Anolis sagrei: one gene and its partner. The protein of the gene in region 1 purifies or fractionates together with the protein of each later gene. This does not show direct contact. Links are inferred from orthologs where the notes say so. Each region holds a gene or a part of one and is shown on either strand. Other genes may lie near its edges.

The links.
Region 2: the proteins of LZTS3 (region 1) and DYRK1A purify together in Homo sapiens (affinity purification with mass spectrometry; 3 studies listed by BioGRID and IntAct, with this or other methods). This does not show direct contact. The link is inferred for Anolis sagrei from reciprocal best matches to the Homo sapiens genes LZTS3 and DYRK1A.

What each region holds. Positions count from the first base shown.
Region 1 is NC_090025.1:7,953,605-7,962,492, forward strand, and holds the start of LZTS3 (leucine zipper putative tumor suppressor 3), read left to right. Parts: upstream 1-5,310; 5' UTR 5,311-5,533; intron 5,534-8,013; exon of another isoform or gene 8,014-8,195; intron 8,196-8,888. UniProt on the Homo sapiens protein: May be involved in promoting the maturation of dendritic spines, probably via regulating SIPA1L1 levels at the postsynaptic density of synapses.
Region 2 is NC_090023.1:71,921,689-71,930,355, reverse strand, and holds the start of DYRK1A (dual specificity tyrosine-phosphorylation-regulated kinase 1A), read right to left. Parts: upstream 3,917-8,667; 5' UTR 3,133-3,916; intron 1-3,132. UniProt on the Homo sapiens protein: Dual-specificity kinase which possesses both serine/threonine and tyrosine kinase activities. Exhibits a substrate preference for proline at position P+1 and arginine at position P-3.

The DNA of each region.
Region 1 (8,888 bases):
ACACCTGAAACACCAAGAAATTGGACAAAATCAATGACTATAAGAATCAACCGCACTGAAAACAGAAGCATGTCCTTGAAGTGCATGCAGACAAAACTATGTGATTCAAAACACTGGGTGACCATGGTGCATGCACATTCGATGGACACATTAGTCTGCTCCATCTTATAGTTTATTTTCAATCAACTAAGGGCGACTAAAATGATCAAGGGTCTGGAGAACAAGCCCTATGAGGAGCGGCTTAAGGAGCTGGGCATGTTTAGCTTGAAGAAGAGAAGGCTGAGAGGCGATATGATAGCCATGTATAAATATGTGAGAGGAAGCCACAGGGAGGAGGGAGCCAGCTTGTTTTCTGCTTCCTTGGAGACTAGGACGCAATGGAGCAATCAGGGCCGTAGCCAGAAAAAAATTTCGGGGAGGGTTGACAATTTGGGGGGGGGGGGGCGTTGAAAAATGGGGGGGGTTTGAAAATTTGGGGGGGGGGGTTGAAAATTTCGGGGAGGGTTGAAAATTTGGGGGGGGGGGGTTGAAGCCTGCCTCCTAGCTCACGCTGAAGCAAAGAGCACAGCAGGGGGCAGAGCAACCTTCCATAGCCTGCAGCTCCACCCCTGTCAACCACCTCCACCAAGTCTGGCCTCCTTAATGAGAGCATTCCACACACACACACCCAACTTGGTTGCTTCACTACGTCGGCTATTGCTGCAAGTATTGATATTGTTGATGTTTTTGATGATGATGTTTTTGGTTATTGCTAGATTGATATTTTAGATTGTGTCTTGAATTTTGAACCTTGTTCTTTCTATGTTGTACACCGCTGTGAGTCGCCCCCGGGCTGAGAACAGCAGTATATAAGCAAAGTAAATAAATAAATAAATAAATGACAGTGTGAATAAATTGTCAATATTTGCTTGAGATAGTGCTTACAGTTCTGGAGGGACTCTTAATTTTTTGCATCTCATAGACTTAGCATGGGATTTGGTTAACCAGTTAAAATTCATGATTAAACCAGGTTTTTTTAAAAAAAAATCTGAAACATTTCGGGCGGGGTTTGAACCCCTAAAACCACCCCCTTGCTACAGGCCTGGGAACAATGGCTTCAAACTACAAGAAAGGAGATTCCATCTGAACATGAGGAAGAACTTCCTGACTGTGAGAGCCGTTCAGCAGTGGAACTCTCTGCCCCGGAGTGTGGTGGAGGCTCCTTCTATAGAAGCTTTTAAGCAGAGGCTGGATGGCCATCTGTCAGGGGTGATTGGAATGCAATATTCCTGCTTCTTGGCAGAATGGGGTTGGACTGGATGGCCCATGAGGTCTCTTCCAACTCTTTGATTCTATGATTCTATGATTCTTCAATGTGGCATGCTTTCAAATATTGAAACATGCTTCTTGTATCGCCTCTTTTGCTTCTCTTTTCCAGGCAAAATTCTGCCTCTCATAAGGATTTATAGTTTCATCTAGATCAATGTTTCTCAAATTGGGGGTTGGGACCCCTGAGGGGGTTGTGGGGGTGGGGGTGGGGGGTGAGAGGGGTCGCCAAAGACCATAAGGAAAAAACAGTATTTTCCAATGGTCATGGGGGTTCTGTGTGGTAAGTTTCTATTATATCATTGGTGAGGTTCAGAATGCTCTTTGATTGGGTGAACTATATATCCCAGCAACTACATCTCCCAAATGGCAAGATCTATTTTGTCCAAACTCTACCAGTGTTCACATTTGGACATATTGAGTATATTAAGTTTGGTCCAAATCCATCATTGTTTGAGTCCTCAGTGCTCTCTGGATGTAAGTGAACTACAACTCCCAAAACTCAATGTCAATGCCCACCAAACTGTTCCAGTATTTTCTGTTGGACATGGGAGTTCTGTGTGCCAAGTTTGGTTCAGTTCAATCGTTGGTGGAGTTTAGAATGCTCTTTGATTGGGAGTAAACTATAATTCCCAGCAACTACAACTCCCAAATGACAAAATCAATCTCCCCCGCACACCACCAGTATTCAAATTGGGGCATATCGGGTATTTGTGCCAAATTTGGTCCAGTGAATGAAAATCCATCCTGCATATCAGATATTTACATTATGATTCATCACAGCAGCAAATTACAGTTTTGAAGTAGCAACGAAAATAATGTGATGATTGGGGGTCACCACCACATAAGGAACTGTAAAAAGGGGTCGCAGCATTGGGAAGGTTGAGAAACACTGTTGTAAAACTACAATTCCCAGAAGTCTATGGAATTTAAAGTGGTGCAAAACTGCATTCAGCCTTCAATGTAGATGTACCCCAAATATCTTTCAATGGCGGAGTCTCGAAAGGGAGCCAATTCTTGGCTCTTCAAAGAAGAAAAAGCAAAGATGGGGCTCTTTTCCTGACAGCATGGAAATGTCTAATTATTATCCTTCATATCACTTTGCCCTGCTTTGTGGGTTGCATTTCGTATTGGAAACCTGTCTCTATAGCAGCAACGGCATCGCATTATCCAAGGGAGATAGATGTGGAAGCAGTTAGTTGGAGGGAAGAGAAAAACCAAGACTAAGTGATTCATGCAGAAAGTGGCCATGCAAGGAAGCCAATGCGACCATGGCTCTTGGATATATTCCTGTGCAATGGAAGATGTAGTTTTGTTGTTGTTGACTACTTCAACCAGAGAAGTCAGCCATAGCAGAGCACCTGATGAACCAGCCTGGACACAGGATATTATTTGAGAACACAGAAATGCTGGACCACACCAACAACCACCATGTCAGACTACACAGAGAAGCCATTGAAATCCACAAGAAGCATGTGGACAATTTCAACAGAAAGGAAGAGACCATGGAAATGAACAAAATCTGGCTACCAGTATTAAAAACCTCTAAAATCACACCAGCAAAACAGCAGAGAGGAAACAACCAGGCACATCTTAACACCTCTCAACAAAAGGTTTTCCCAGGCTCAGGCAGGCCTTCAAATGCTAATGAAGGTGATCAGTTGAAACATTCACACCTAGCTCCAGCAGACAAAGAGTCCTTGGCCCCACCCTGGTCATTCCACAGATATATAAACTCATTTTCCTATTTCCAACAAACCTCACTACCTCTGAGGATGCTTGCCATAGATGCAGGCGAAACGTCAGGAGAAATGCCTCTAGAACATGGCCCTATAGCCCGGAAAAACCCACAAGAACCATTATTATTATTATTATTATTATTATTATTATTATTATCTGGTTTGTCATGCAATTATTATTATTATCTGGTTTGTCATGCAATTATTATTACTATTATTATTATCTAGTTTGTCATGCAATTATTATTATTATTATTATTATCTGGTTTGTCATGCAATTATTATTATTATTATTATCTGGTTTGTCATGCGATTATTATTATTATTATTATTATTATTACCTGGTTTGTCGTGCAATTATTATTATTATTATTATTACCTGGTTTGTCGTGCAATTATTATTATTATTATTATTATTATTATCTGGTTTGTCATGCGATTATGATTATTATTATTATTATTACCTGGTTTGTCGTGCAATTATTATTATTATTATTATTATTATTATTATCTGGTTTGTCATGCGATTATGATTATTATTATTATTATTACCTGGTTTGTCGTGCAATTATTATTATTATTATTATTATTATTATCTGGTTTGTCATGCGATTATTATTATTATTATTATTACCTGGTTTGTCGTGCAATTATTATTATTATTATTATTATTATTATTATCTGGTTTGTCATGCGATTATGATTATTATTATTATTATTACCTGGTTTGTCGTGCAATTATTATTATTATTATTATTATTATTATCTGGTTTGTCATGCGATTATGATTATTATTATTATTATTATCTGGTTTGTCGTGCAATTATTATTAGTATTATTATTATTATTATTATCTGGTTTGTCGTGCAATTATTATTATTATCTGGTTTGTCATGCAATTATTATTAGTATTATTATTATTATTATCTGGTTTGTCGTGCAATTTTTTAAATTATTACCTGGTTTGTCGTTCAATTATTATTATTATTATCTGGTTTGTCATGCAATTATTATTATTATTATTATTATTATCTGGTTTGTCATGTAATTATTATTATTATTATGATCTGGTTTGTCGTGCAATTATTATTATTATTATTATTATTATTATCTGGTTTGCTGTGCAATTATTATTACTATTATTATCTGGTTTGTCATGCAATTATTATTATTATTATCTGGTTTGTCGTGCAATTATTATTATTATTATTATTATCTGATTTGCCGTGCAGTTCTTATTATTATTATCTGGTTTGTTGTGCAATTATTATTATTACTATTATTATTATCTGGTTTGTCGTGCAATTATTATTATTACTATTATTATTATCTGGTTTGTCATGCAATTATTGTTATTATTATTATTATTATTATCTGGTTTGTCGTGCAATTATTATTATTACTATTATTATTATCTGGTTTGTCGTGCAATTATTATTATTACTATTATTATTATCTGGTTTGTCATGCAATTATTATTATTATTATTATTATCTGCTTTGTCATGCAATTATTATTATTATTATTATTATTACCTGCTTTGTCATGCAATTATTATTATTATTATCTGGTTTGTCTTGCAATCATTATTATTAAAATTATTACCTGGTTTGTCATGCAATTATTATTATTATTATTATTATTACCTGGTTTGTCATGCAATTATTATTATTAGTATTATTATTATTATCTGGTTTGTCTTGCAATCATTATTATTATAATTATTATCTGGTTTGTCGTGCAATTATTATTATTATTATTATTATTATTATTATCTGGTATGTCGTGCAATTATTATTATATTATTAATTGCACATCAGGGATGCTTTGAATGCAATTTCCCTGCTTCTTGGCACAATGGGGTTGGACTGGATGGCCCAGGAGGTCTCTTCCAACTCTATTATTCTATTATTTTATTAGACACATTCACATAGTATTATTATTATTATTATTATTATTATTATTATTATTTTACACACACACATTTATATATATATGTGTGTGTGTGTGTGTGTATACACACACACACACACACAGAGATATCTCTATATGCACACACACCCATACACACACACAAACACACACACACTCATATGTATATACACAAACAGAGACTAACAGTATTGCCAAGCCATTTGGTCCCATCTCCATCTGGAGGGTGGCGGGAAGCGAAGGGTTAACTGCAAAGTGGGCGTGGCTCCGCGCTACTCCTCTCCAGCCTCGCTCTCCGATTGGCCGGGGCTCTGACAGCGGGGCGTGGCCTCGCGCCTTTGCCGCAAGAAAAGGGACCAGACGCGTGTCGGCGGGGAGGGCGAACGTGTGAACGCGTGACGCCGGGGCCAGAGATGCGAGTCGACCGGGCGCCCAGCCCCGGATCCAGCTTTTGGCCTTTTTGCCTTGAGACATCCTCACCGAGACCCATTTGGTTTGATTTGAATGAGAGGATTGGGACGCCTTCCCAGCTGGAGAGAGAGCTGAGCCTGCAAACAGTAAGTGATGCCTTTGCAAAAAAATATTGGAATAATATGCAAATTGAGTGGGATTCCTGAAGGAAATGGGGAGGGAAGAGTGTGAGTGTGAGTGTGCAATTCAGGTGCAATGCACAGCATGGAGGGTGTGTGTGTGTGTGTGTGTGTGTGTGTGTGTGTGAGGGAGTGTGAAAGAGGCAGGCTGGCAGGGATGCTGCTCCTGGCCATCTTTGAAATATCTCTCTCTCTGTGTGTGTCTGCATGCACACACACACACACATTCACATATGCACACACAGACAGAGACACAAACACATTCACATATGCACTCACACAGATATGTATGTATGCACACACATATGCACACAAACCTATAGACACACATATACAGACACATACACACATTCATATATATATACACACACACAGAGAGACACACATACACAGAGAGAGAGAGAGAGATCTATATGTGCACACACACATGCGCAAATATGCACACACACACATATATACAGACACATACACACATTCATATATGCACACACACAAATATGTATGTATGCACACACACATATGCACAAATATGCACACACACACATATATGCAGACACATACACACATTCATACATATATATATATATATACATACATATATATATACATACATACATAGAGAGATCTATATGTGCGCGCACACATGTGCAAATATGCACACACACCCATAAACACACACATAAACACATACCCACAAATATATATACACACATAGACACATATGCACAAATATGCACACACACCCATACATACACATATATACAGACACATAAACACATTCATATATATATATATATATATACACACACACACACACATACATACACAGAGAGATCTATATGTGCACACACATGTGCAAATATGTACACACACCCATAGAGACACGTATATACAGTCACATACATTCATATATGCACACACAGATATGTATATATGCACACACATGTGCACAAATATACACCCACACACACACATATATACAGACACATGTGCACATTCATATATACACACACACATATTTATAGGTGCACACACACGTGCGCAAATATGCACATACACCCATAGACACACATATATATACAAACACATATACACATTCATATATATATATATATATATATATATATATATATATACACATTCACACACACACACATATATATATACAAACATACACATTCATATATATATATACACATACACACACACATATATATACACACACATACACATATGCACACACACACACACATATATATAGAAACATACAGACTCGCACACATATGCACACACAGATATCTGTATATACACACATTCATATATACACCTAGAGAGATATCTATGTATGCAAACACATATACACACATATATACACACATTAATATATACACACACATTATATATGCATACACACATTTATATATGGATGTATATATAGATATACACACACATATATATATCAATGCACACACACAAATATCTATATATATCAACAAAACACACACTTATATGTGCACATACACATATACACATACACATCTCTATGCATACAGACACACACATACACACATACAATATATATTTTTCACAAATTTACATATATATGTACTTGTCACATGCATATGACACTTTTAAAGTTGCTTCTTGTAATTTCAATATATATGTTTGAGTGCATGCACATAAATAGACACACGTTTATGCACACATACATGCATGTAGGTGCACACTCATTAGGCTTTTAAAGCTACTTCTTGCCATTTCAATATATACATGTACATGCATGTGAGACTTTTACATGCACACTATACATATATGCACACACCGATATATGCATACACATGTGAGACTTTTATTGCAGCTCCTTGCAATTTTTAATATATATTCACACACCCTGAAACATATATGCACCCAGACACGCATACATATATGCATACACATGTGAGATTTTTATTGCAGCTCCTTGCAATTTTTAATATATATGCACTTACACTGATATATGTATATGCACCCAGACACGCACACATACATGCATACACATGTGAGACTCCTTTCAATTTTTAATATATATGCACATACACTGATATATGTATATGCACCCAGGCACACATGTACCCAGACATGCACACACATATGCATTCATATGTGAGAATTTTATTGCTGCTCCTTGCAATTTTTAATATTTATTGCAGCTCCTTGCAATTTTTAATATATATATGCACACACTGTGATACATACATGCACCCAGACACGCATACACGGATATGTATGCATACACATGTGAGACTTTTATTGCAGCTCCTTGCAGTTTTTTTTATATATATATGCACACACTCTGATACAGATATGCACCCAGACATGCATACACATGTGAGACTTTTATTGCAGCTCCTTGCAATACATATATATACACACTTGTGCACACACATACACGCTATCATTTGAAGTTTGCCTCCCTTCGTATTGCATTTCCCATTTCCCCCTTTCTGCTTTGATTTTTCTATGCACATAATTCACACACACACACACACACACACCTTTGCAGACATGTGTGCTTCCATGCATTAGACAGACAGATCTGTGCACAAGTCGGAGCATCCTTCCATCCTAGGCTCTCCGTGGTGGGAACATGGTGAGGATATGATTTTTCTTTTCCGTGACTGGGGTGTTTTATTTGGGGAGGGGGCTGTTGTTGGGGATGATGTCATCAGTGGGGTGTCATCATCCAGGAGAGGTGACGCTGGCTGCATTGGGGTGATCGCTTGGATATGTATTGGTGGGGGGGGGGGGATGCACACACAACATGGCTGCAAATTATGTCATCTAGTTTTCGGAGAGGTTTCTGGCATCACTGACGGTTTGCCATTTCGTTGGGAAGCTGCAAGGAGAGACACCCCCCTTCTCCTCCTTTATAAGGGTTAGGTTCAGCAAAGATGTCCATATATGTCAGGCATATATCATGCTATATATATATATATATATATATATATATATATATATATGACATGACATGACTCCCATATGAGTGGGCACCCAACATCTCATCTCCGTCCCTATTATACCTCATCCAAAAAGAGATATGGTATCTTGCACATCAGGTCTGTGGCCGGGTCTCGTAAAGCATGAAACCTTATAATAAAATCCTATAGCCTCTCTATCTATCTATCTATCTATCTATCTATCTATCTATCTATCCATACATACATACATACATACATACACATGCACATAAATATATACATGGATCTATACATACATACATATATGAAACCTTACAATAAAATCCTATAGCCTCTCTATCTATCTATCTATCTATCTATCTATC
Region 2 (8,667 bases), on another chromosome or scaffold:
ACACACAATCAAAGCACCCCGGACAGAAAACCATCCAGCCTCTGTTCAAGCCTCTAGAGAAGAAGCCTCTACCACATTCCAGGGGAGAGTGTTTCACTGCTGAACAGCTCTCACAGTTAGGAAGTTCTTCCTAATGTTCAGGTGGAATCTCCTTTTCTGTAATTTAAACTCATAATTCAGAAAAAACTACCAACCCCCCCCCCCCCACTTCTTTGCCCATAAGAATCAAAGAGTTGGAAGGGACTAAAAGGGCCGTCCAATCCATTGCTTGCCATGCAGGAACACACAATCAGAGCACCCCGGACGGATGGCCATCCAGACTCTGTTCAAAACCTCCAAAGGAACCTCCGTCACACTCCGGAGCAGAGTGTTTCACTGCTTAACAGTTCTCACAGTTAGGAAGTTCTTCCTAATGTTCAGGCAGAATCTCCTTTCCTGTAATTTGAACACATAATTCAGAAAGAACAACCAAAAGCCCCCCTACTTCTTTGCAAATAAGAATCAAAGAATTGGGAGAGAACACCATCCAGTCCATCCCTTGCCATGCAGGAACACACAATCAAAGCACCCCTGACAGAAGACCATCCAGCCTCTGTTCAAAAGCCTCCAAAGGAGGAGCCTCCACCTCATTCAAGGGTAGAGTGTTTCACTGCTGACCAGCCCTCACAGTTAGGAAGTTCTTCCTAATGTTCAGGCAAAATCTGCTTTCCTGTAATTTGAACTCATAATTCAGAAATTACTACAAAAAAGCCCCTACTTCTTTTCCCATAAAAATCAAAGAGTTAGAAGAGACTACACGGGCCATCCAGTCCATCCCTTGCCATGCAGGAACACACAATCAAAGCACCCTGGACTGATGGCCAGCCAGCTTCTGTTCAAAAGCCTCCAAAGAAGGAGCCTCCACCACACTAAGGAGCAGAGTTTCACTCCTGAACAGCTCTCACAGTTACAAAGTTCTTCCTAATGTTCAGGCAGAATCGGCTTTCCTGTAATTTGAACTCATAATTCAGAAATAACTACCAAAAGCCCCGCTCCTTCTTTGCACAATAAGAATCAAAGAGTTGGGAGAGACCACCATCCAGTTCATCCGTTGCCATGCAGGAACACACAATCAAAGCACCCCTGACAGAAGACCATCAAGCCTCTGTTCAAAAGCCTCCGAAGGAGGAGCCTCAACCACACTCCAGAGCAGAGTTCCACTGCTGAACAGCTCTCACAGTTAGGAAGTCCTTCCTAATGTTTAGGACATAATCTCCTTTCCTGTAATTTGAACTCATAATTCAGAAATTACTACCAAAAAACCCCTACTTCTTTGCCCATAAGGATCAATGAGTTTAAAGAGACTACAAGGCCCATCCAGTCCCTCCTTTGCCAAGCAGGAATACACAATCAAAGCACCCCAGACAGAAAACCACCCAGCCTCTGTTCAAAAGTCTCCGAAGAAGGAGCCTCCGCCACACTCCAGGGTAGAGAGTTCCACTGCTGAACAGCTCTCCGTTAGAAAGTTCTTCCAAATGTTCAGGCGGAATTTGCTTTCCTGTAATTTGAACTCATAATTCAGAAATTACTACCAAAAAACCCCGACTTCCTTGCCCATAAGGATCAAAGAGTTTAAAGAGACTACAAGGCCCATCCAGTCCCTCCTTTGCCAAGCAGGAATACACAATCAAAGCACCCCAGACAGAAAACCATCCAGCCTCTGTTCAAAAGTCTCTGAAGAAGGAGCCTCCGCCACACTCCGGGGTAGAGAGTTCCACTGCTGAACAGCTCCCCGTTAGAAAGTTCTTCCAAATGTTCATGCGGAATCTGCTTTCCTGTAATTTGAACTCATAATTCAGAAATTACTACCAAAACACCCCTACTTCTTTGCCCATAAGGATCAAAGAGTTGGAAATTACTACAAGGGCCATCCAGTCCTCCCTTGCCATGCTAAAACACACCATCAAAGTACCCCAGATGGATGGTCATCCAGACTCTGTTTAAAAGACTCCGAAGAAGGTGCCTCCATCATACTCTGGGCCAGAGGGTTCCACTGCTGAACAGCTCTCACACTTATGAAGTTCTTCCTAATGTCTAAGCAGAATATCCTTTCCTGTAATTAGAACTCATAATTCAGAAATAACTACCTTAGCCCCCCTGCTTCTTTGCCCATAAGAATCAAAGAATTGGGAGAGACTACCATCCAGTCCATCCCTTGCCATGCAGGAACACACAATCAAAGCTCCCCTGAGAGAAGACCATCCAGCCTCCGCTTAAAAGCCTCCCAAGAAGGAGCCTCCACCTCATTCCAGGGCAGAAAGTTTCACTGTTGAACAGCTCTCCCAGTTAGGAAGTTCTTCCTAATGTTGAGGCGGAATCTCCTTTCCTGTAATTTGAACTCATAATATAGAAATAATTGTAAAAAAAAAAAAAAAAACCCTAGTTCTTTCCCCATAAGAATCAAAAAGTTGGGAGAGACCACAAGGACCATCCAGTCCATCCCTTGCCATGCAGGAACACACAATCAAAACACCCCAGGACGATGGCCATTCAGCCTATACTGAGAGAGAAGAATAAATTTCAATTAACGATCCCAATCCAAATCATTCCCTCCTAAGTTATAGATCGAGTCCTTTGGGGGGTGAAAGGGTGGTCTAGGAATGATTTTTTTTAATTATAAATTGAGAACCAGTCCTGATTTCCCCCCGTTCAGGTGCATTCTCCCTCTGAGTGACACAGTAGATAGGACAGGTACGTGCTGCAGCGGCCCTCGGCTGACAGAAACACTTCTCCTCGTCAGCCTGGGCTGCCACACCGTCCAAACAGCCCGACAACAGGTGCGGAGGGCGGGAAAGTAGAGAGGAGGGGGAGGCCCACCTGTCCACTTCTCCCCCCACCCCAAAAAATAAAAGCAGGGCCTTCCTTCGTAGCCCAGGTGCGCGCCATGGATCCCTCTCAGCCAGGCCTCCTCCGGCGCCTTCGCGGTTTCCCTGCCTGATCGGAGGAAGGGAGGAAGCCGGCGCCGCTGCCTCCCGCTTTCCTCCAGGCCGGCCTCCTCCTCCTCCTCTTCAAGATGGCAGCGGCCCTCCTCAGCCTCCCTCTCTTCGCCGCGGAGGCCCCGCCACTCACTCACTCGTTCACTCACTCACTTACCCGGGTCTGGGGCGGTGGCCGCCTCCCCGTCCTCCTCGGGTTCCTGTCCGCAGGGCCTGCAATAATCCCGACCGAGGCCTCCTTTCCCGGCGGCGGCGGCAGTGGCGGGAGGCGCCCTCAGTTCATTCCCCGCCTCAAGCCGCGGAGGTCCGGCTCGGCCCAGCCCTCAGCGGCGTCCCCGCTGTCGTCTTTTCCTCCTCCTCCTCCTCCTTGTTCTTCAGGGCCTTCGTGGCCCCGGAGCGGAGCCAACCACGCACCCCCTCCCTCCCTCCCTCCCTTTTGGAGGGAGGTAGGCAGGCAGGCAAGAAGGGAGGTGGCCCGGCCCGGCGGGCGGATCCGCGGCGTTTCCTGGCCGGGAAGGCTGTCTTTCCTCTCGCTCACAAAATGGCGCGCGTTCCAAACCTGCGCAGCGAACGGCCAGCCTGGGCCCGGACCCAGCGTCGGAGTAGCAGTGGCGGCGGCGGAGGAGGAGGAGGCTTCAACGGCTGCGGTGAGGCCGGGCCGAGCGAGGAAGGCAGAGGCAGGAAGGAAGGAGGACAGCGCGGCGCTTGAACCGAGCCCCCGGGAAACTCCTCGCTCGCTCGCTCGCTCGCTGGCTGGCTGGCTCTCCTCCCCTCTCTCTCTCTCTCTCTCCCTCCCTCCTTCGCTCTCGCTCCTTCCCCTCCCTCCTCACTGCCGGCTTCTCTGGAACTAAGCTCCAGCCACACACACACACTCACTCTCTCACGCGGGCGGGCGGGAGTGCGCGCGCAGCCGCCTCGCTTGCTCCTTTCGGCCTCCGCTGACGAGAATCAGATTTCAAAAAAAATAAAACCTCAACTACCTCAAAATAATATATATATATTTAAAAAAGTAAAGCTTCCGTGAGGGGATTTCTAATATAACCCACTCGGAAATTAGCTCATTTAGGCGGGAAGAGGGGGGAAATTGTAAAAAAAAAAATCTTTTTTTAAAGAGGCCCAACTGACAAAATGGCGGCCGGGAGAGCCTGTTACTATGACAACTGTCAATCACGCCGCCACGGCCCCGCCCCTGCCAGGCGGGAATCCGCGCTTGAGGAAAGAGGAAGGGGTCGAAGGAGGCGGAGCTTGGTCGCCTTGGCGACTAGTGCTTCGTTCCTGTCAATCATGCCGTCAGGGCCCCGCCCGCTGCCAGGCGGGAATCCGCGCTTGAGGAAAGGGAGGGAAAGGAATGGGTCGAAGGAGGCGGAGCTTGGTCGCCTTGGCGACTAGTGCTTCGTTCCTGTCAATCATGCCGTCAGGGCCCCGCCCGCTGCCAGGCGGGAATCCGCGCTTGAGGAAAGGGAGGGAAAGGGAATGGGTCGAAGGAGGCGGAGCTTGGTCGCCTTGGCGACTGCTGCTTCGTTCCTGTTGTTATAAATTCCGAGGAGCCTGCGAGCAGGAGCGCGCGCGCGCACGCACGCGGTACTGGGGCTACCCCTCGCGCCTGCCTGCCTGCCTGCCTGCCTGCCTTCCTGGTGGGTCTTCTCGCGGGTTGCCATGGGGACGGGACGGAGCAGTCCCGCTTCAAGGTGAGGAGAAGGAAGAAAAGAAGGGACCGCAGGCCTCTCACATCCGTGCTCGGTGCCGACTCGCTGTGGTGTTCTTCCGTCTCCGCGGTGTGGTCCAAGTGGCTTCGGACAAGCATCTCCGTCAAATGGATATCATACAAAGGCCGGAGCGAGAGGAAGGGGAGTGTGCCGCTGGGTTTCTTTCTGACAGTGCTGCTGAAAGGGGAAAAGGCGAGGCCCGGCACCCGTTCGCCCGCGGTGGCGCCAAGGCCTCTCTACCGAGGATGGGAGCCATGGGGCCTTGGCGGAGACGGAGCCCCGAAGACCCGGCGCAAGGGAAGGAGGAGGGCCAGGAAGGCGCCCCGAAGGAAGGAAAGAAGGGGCCAGGGCAGCCTCCTCGCTTGCAGGGGCGCCTTCTCGCCCTCGCTGGGAGATTTTAAACACCTCCCAGGCTGGATTTTCGCTGCCTAATAATGCGGTTTGGAACTGCATTATATGGTTCCACACCGCATTATTTGGCCCTAGTTTTGGGGTTGAGTTCCTGCCATTAGGGACCACTTTAATCGCCATGCTACTTTGACAAGCCTCTGCTAATGAAATCTGGGGCCTCGCCAAACTACAACTCCCTGTATTCCAAAGCAGGGGATCATGGCAGTTAAAGTGGCCTCAAATTGCATTAATGGTACACTGCAGATCTATGGGCACACTTGGGCCTTCCCTCCAGGTGTTTTGGACATCAGCTCCCACCATTCCTAACAGCCTCAGGCCCCTTTCTTTTCCCTCTCAGCTGCTTAAGCAATGATGTATACAATGATGTAGTTGTAGATATACTGTATATACTCGAGTATAAGCCTAGTTTTTCAGCCCCCTTTTTAGGCTGACCCCCCCCCCTTGACTTATACTTGAGTCAAGGTTATTTATTATTTTACTCTGTTATTAGTATTATTTGTATTTAATCTTTTATTCTATTTGTTATTATTATTACATTTACATTATTTTACTTTATTATTATCATTATTACATTTATTATTTTAATCTATTATTATTACATTTATTTTTCTCTATTATAATTTTATTACATTTTATTTACTCTATTATTATTATTTTATTACATTTATTATTTTACTCCATTATTATTATTACTATTATTACTGTTATTACATTTGTTATGTTACTCTATTATTACTGTTATTCTTACATTTCCATTATTTTGCTCTCTTTATTATTGGAAGGATACACAAGCACATTTACGCTGAAGAAGGTTAGAGTAATGGTTTAATCAGAGTTTGACATAAATTACAGTTTTATGTAAAAATTCAAAAACATTTCACCTCCTGATGCCTCCATTAATTTAATTTCATTTATATCTATTTTTTATTTTGAAATTGGCCCATAGCTGCTGGATTTCCCACCCTCGGTTTATACTCGAGTTCATACTATTTCCCAATTTTTTGTGATAAAATTAGACACCTCAGCTTATATTCGGGTCGGCTTATACTCAAGTGTGTGTGTGTGTGTATAGTAAAAAAATCAAGGTTTGCTTTTGGGATTTTTTAAAAAAATAGGTATTTTCAAGAGGTTGAATCCATAAAGCGGACTGTTTCCCATTGGCACTGTTAGCCACGCCCTAATATGGGATGGGCAGCATAGATAACCTGATGAGGCAGGATTATGGAAGCTACAAAATACATCTGAACAGGCAAAATGACAAAGCCCTGTCCCAATATAATATCAGAGATCAATTGTCCTTAGGGTAGGCATGGGCAAACCTGACTTGAGGGCCACATGCTAGCATTCCCTGCTAAGAGGACTGGCAGCCTGGTGATGGAAGGAAGGAGGGGAAGGATGGAAGGAAGGAAAAGGGAGAGGAGGAGAAAGGAAAAAGAGAAGGAAGAAAGGGTGGAAGGAAGGAGGGAGAAAGAGGGAAGAAATGGAGGGAAGAAAGAGAAGGAAGGAAGGACAAAATGGAAGGGAGGGAAGGAGAGAGAGAGAAGGAAGACAGGATACCGAGAGAGAGGAGAGTCTGAGAAAAGAGCCCAAGGGGCCAAATCCAACCCCCAGATCTGGGTTTACCCATACCTGCTTTAAGGCAACTAAGTGTAATAAGGGCAAAGATTCCAAACCAATTATTGCTTATGCAGAAGAGAAGATTTCTGCAAGTCTTGCTTGTCATGTAACCAGCATCTGCTGAACTTCCATACAAGCACTAAAACAGTATTTCTCAACATTTTTTTTTACCTAGAAGAACCTCAGAAATAATTTTCTGGGCTCAGAGGCTGCAACTACACTGTAGAATTAATGCAGGTTGACATCACTTTAATTGCCATGGCTCAGTGCTGTGGAGTCTTGGGAGTTGTAATTCTGCAAGGTCTTTAGCCTTCTGTGCCAAAGTGTGTGGGTGCCTCTCTAGGGTTCCACAGCACTGAGCATGGCATTTACTCCACAGCATAGATAAACCAAAGAATCCTTGCATTAAAATTATTATACTTATAGCTTATATAAATGTTTGTTTTTTCAGTCATAGTCTCTTGCAGGAACCAGTGACCTCACACAGAACCCTGCTTGATAAGCCCTGCATTTTTTCATGCCACTTATAATTGGATATGCTGCATCTCATTCCTTCCTTCTCTTTCCTCCCCGCATTCCTTCCCTCTTTCTCCCTTCTTCCTTCCACCCTTTCTTCCTTTAAGAAACACTTAGGCATACTTGCCCTACTAAGTGAGGGCATGCCTAGTTCAGTCACAGGCCATGACTTGTAAGATTTTTGAACTATGAACCATATCTTCAGAGGTTTCTCAACTGTGAGAGCCAAGGCTGCTGTATGATTTGAAAACCTTACTGCTGTCAGCAGCACTACAGGAGCCCCCGGTGGCGCAATGGGTTAAAACCTTGTGCTAGCAGGTTGGTGGTTCGAATCCAGGGAGCGGAGTGAGCTTCTGTTTGTCAGCTTCAGCTTCCCATGCAGAGACATGAGAGAAGTGTCCCACAGGATGGGAAAACATCCCGGTGTCCCCTGGGCAACGGTTGGTTTGAACCCAGAGAGCTGGGTGAGCTCCCGTCTGTCAGCTCCACCTTCTCATGCAGGGACATGAGAGAAGCCTCCCACAGAATGGGTGTCCCCTGGGCAATATCCTTGCAGATGGCCAATTCTCTTACACCAGAAGCGACTTGCAGTTTCTCAAGTCGCTCCTGACACGAAAAAAGCAACACTACACAATCTTGTACATATATTTTTCAGCCATTAAGTGAATGAAGCAAACGTTCCATATATGAAACAAACCACATAGCACTCTCTTATCATTGTAAGGATATGTGTAGATACAGTTAATGTATAATTGCTCTATCTTGGACTACATGGCCCTTGTGATCTCTTCCAACTCTATCCTTCTGTGATCCTTTTTTCAAGGATTTGGGAATATGGAAAATCCAGACAATTACATGTTAAAATTGTATCCCTCCTGTGTATTTCTGCTGCTTCTTCCATCTTTATCTATATAAATAAAAATGTAATATTCATTTGTGGGATTAACAGAACTTGAAAACCACTGGACGAATTGACCCCAAATTTGCACACAAGACACCTACCATAGCAATCTATGTCCTTGCTATGTCCTCAAAAAAAATCAACCAAAAAAAAAACCGGAAAGTGCTTAAACCCCCACAAGCCTGAATGGCTATATAGACCACGCGTTAAAACGACACCTTCCTGCACCCCCCCCCCCGCACGAAGGGGGAAAAAACCAACAGTTGAGAGAGAACTGCTGGGGAGAGGGAGGGAAAGAAAGGTGACCCACAGATACTTTTCTCAAGCCCCTGCCTTTCCCTTCCCAAACACTTTTATTTATATAGATAATTTGAAATCACTGTTCCAGGAGGGAGTGGGAAGATGGGGGGGAGGGCATGGGTAATGGGTGATACACATCTAAGGAATACAGAAAGTGACATTTGAGGTAAAGTGACTTTTGGAATAATGTATATCGAAATAAGATTTGTATGGCAAAAGTTTGTTAATTAAATGGATGCAT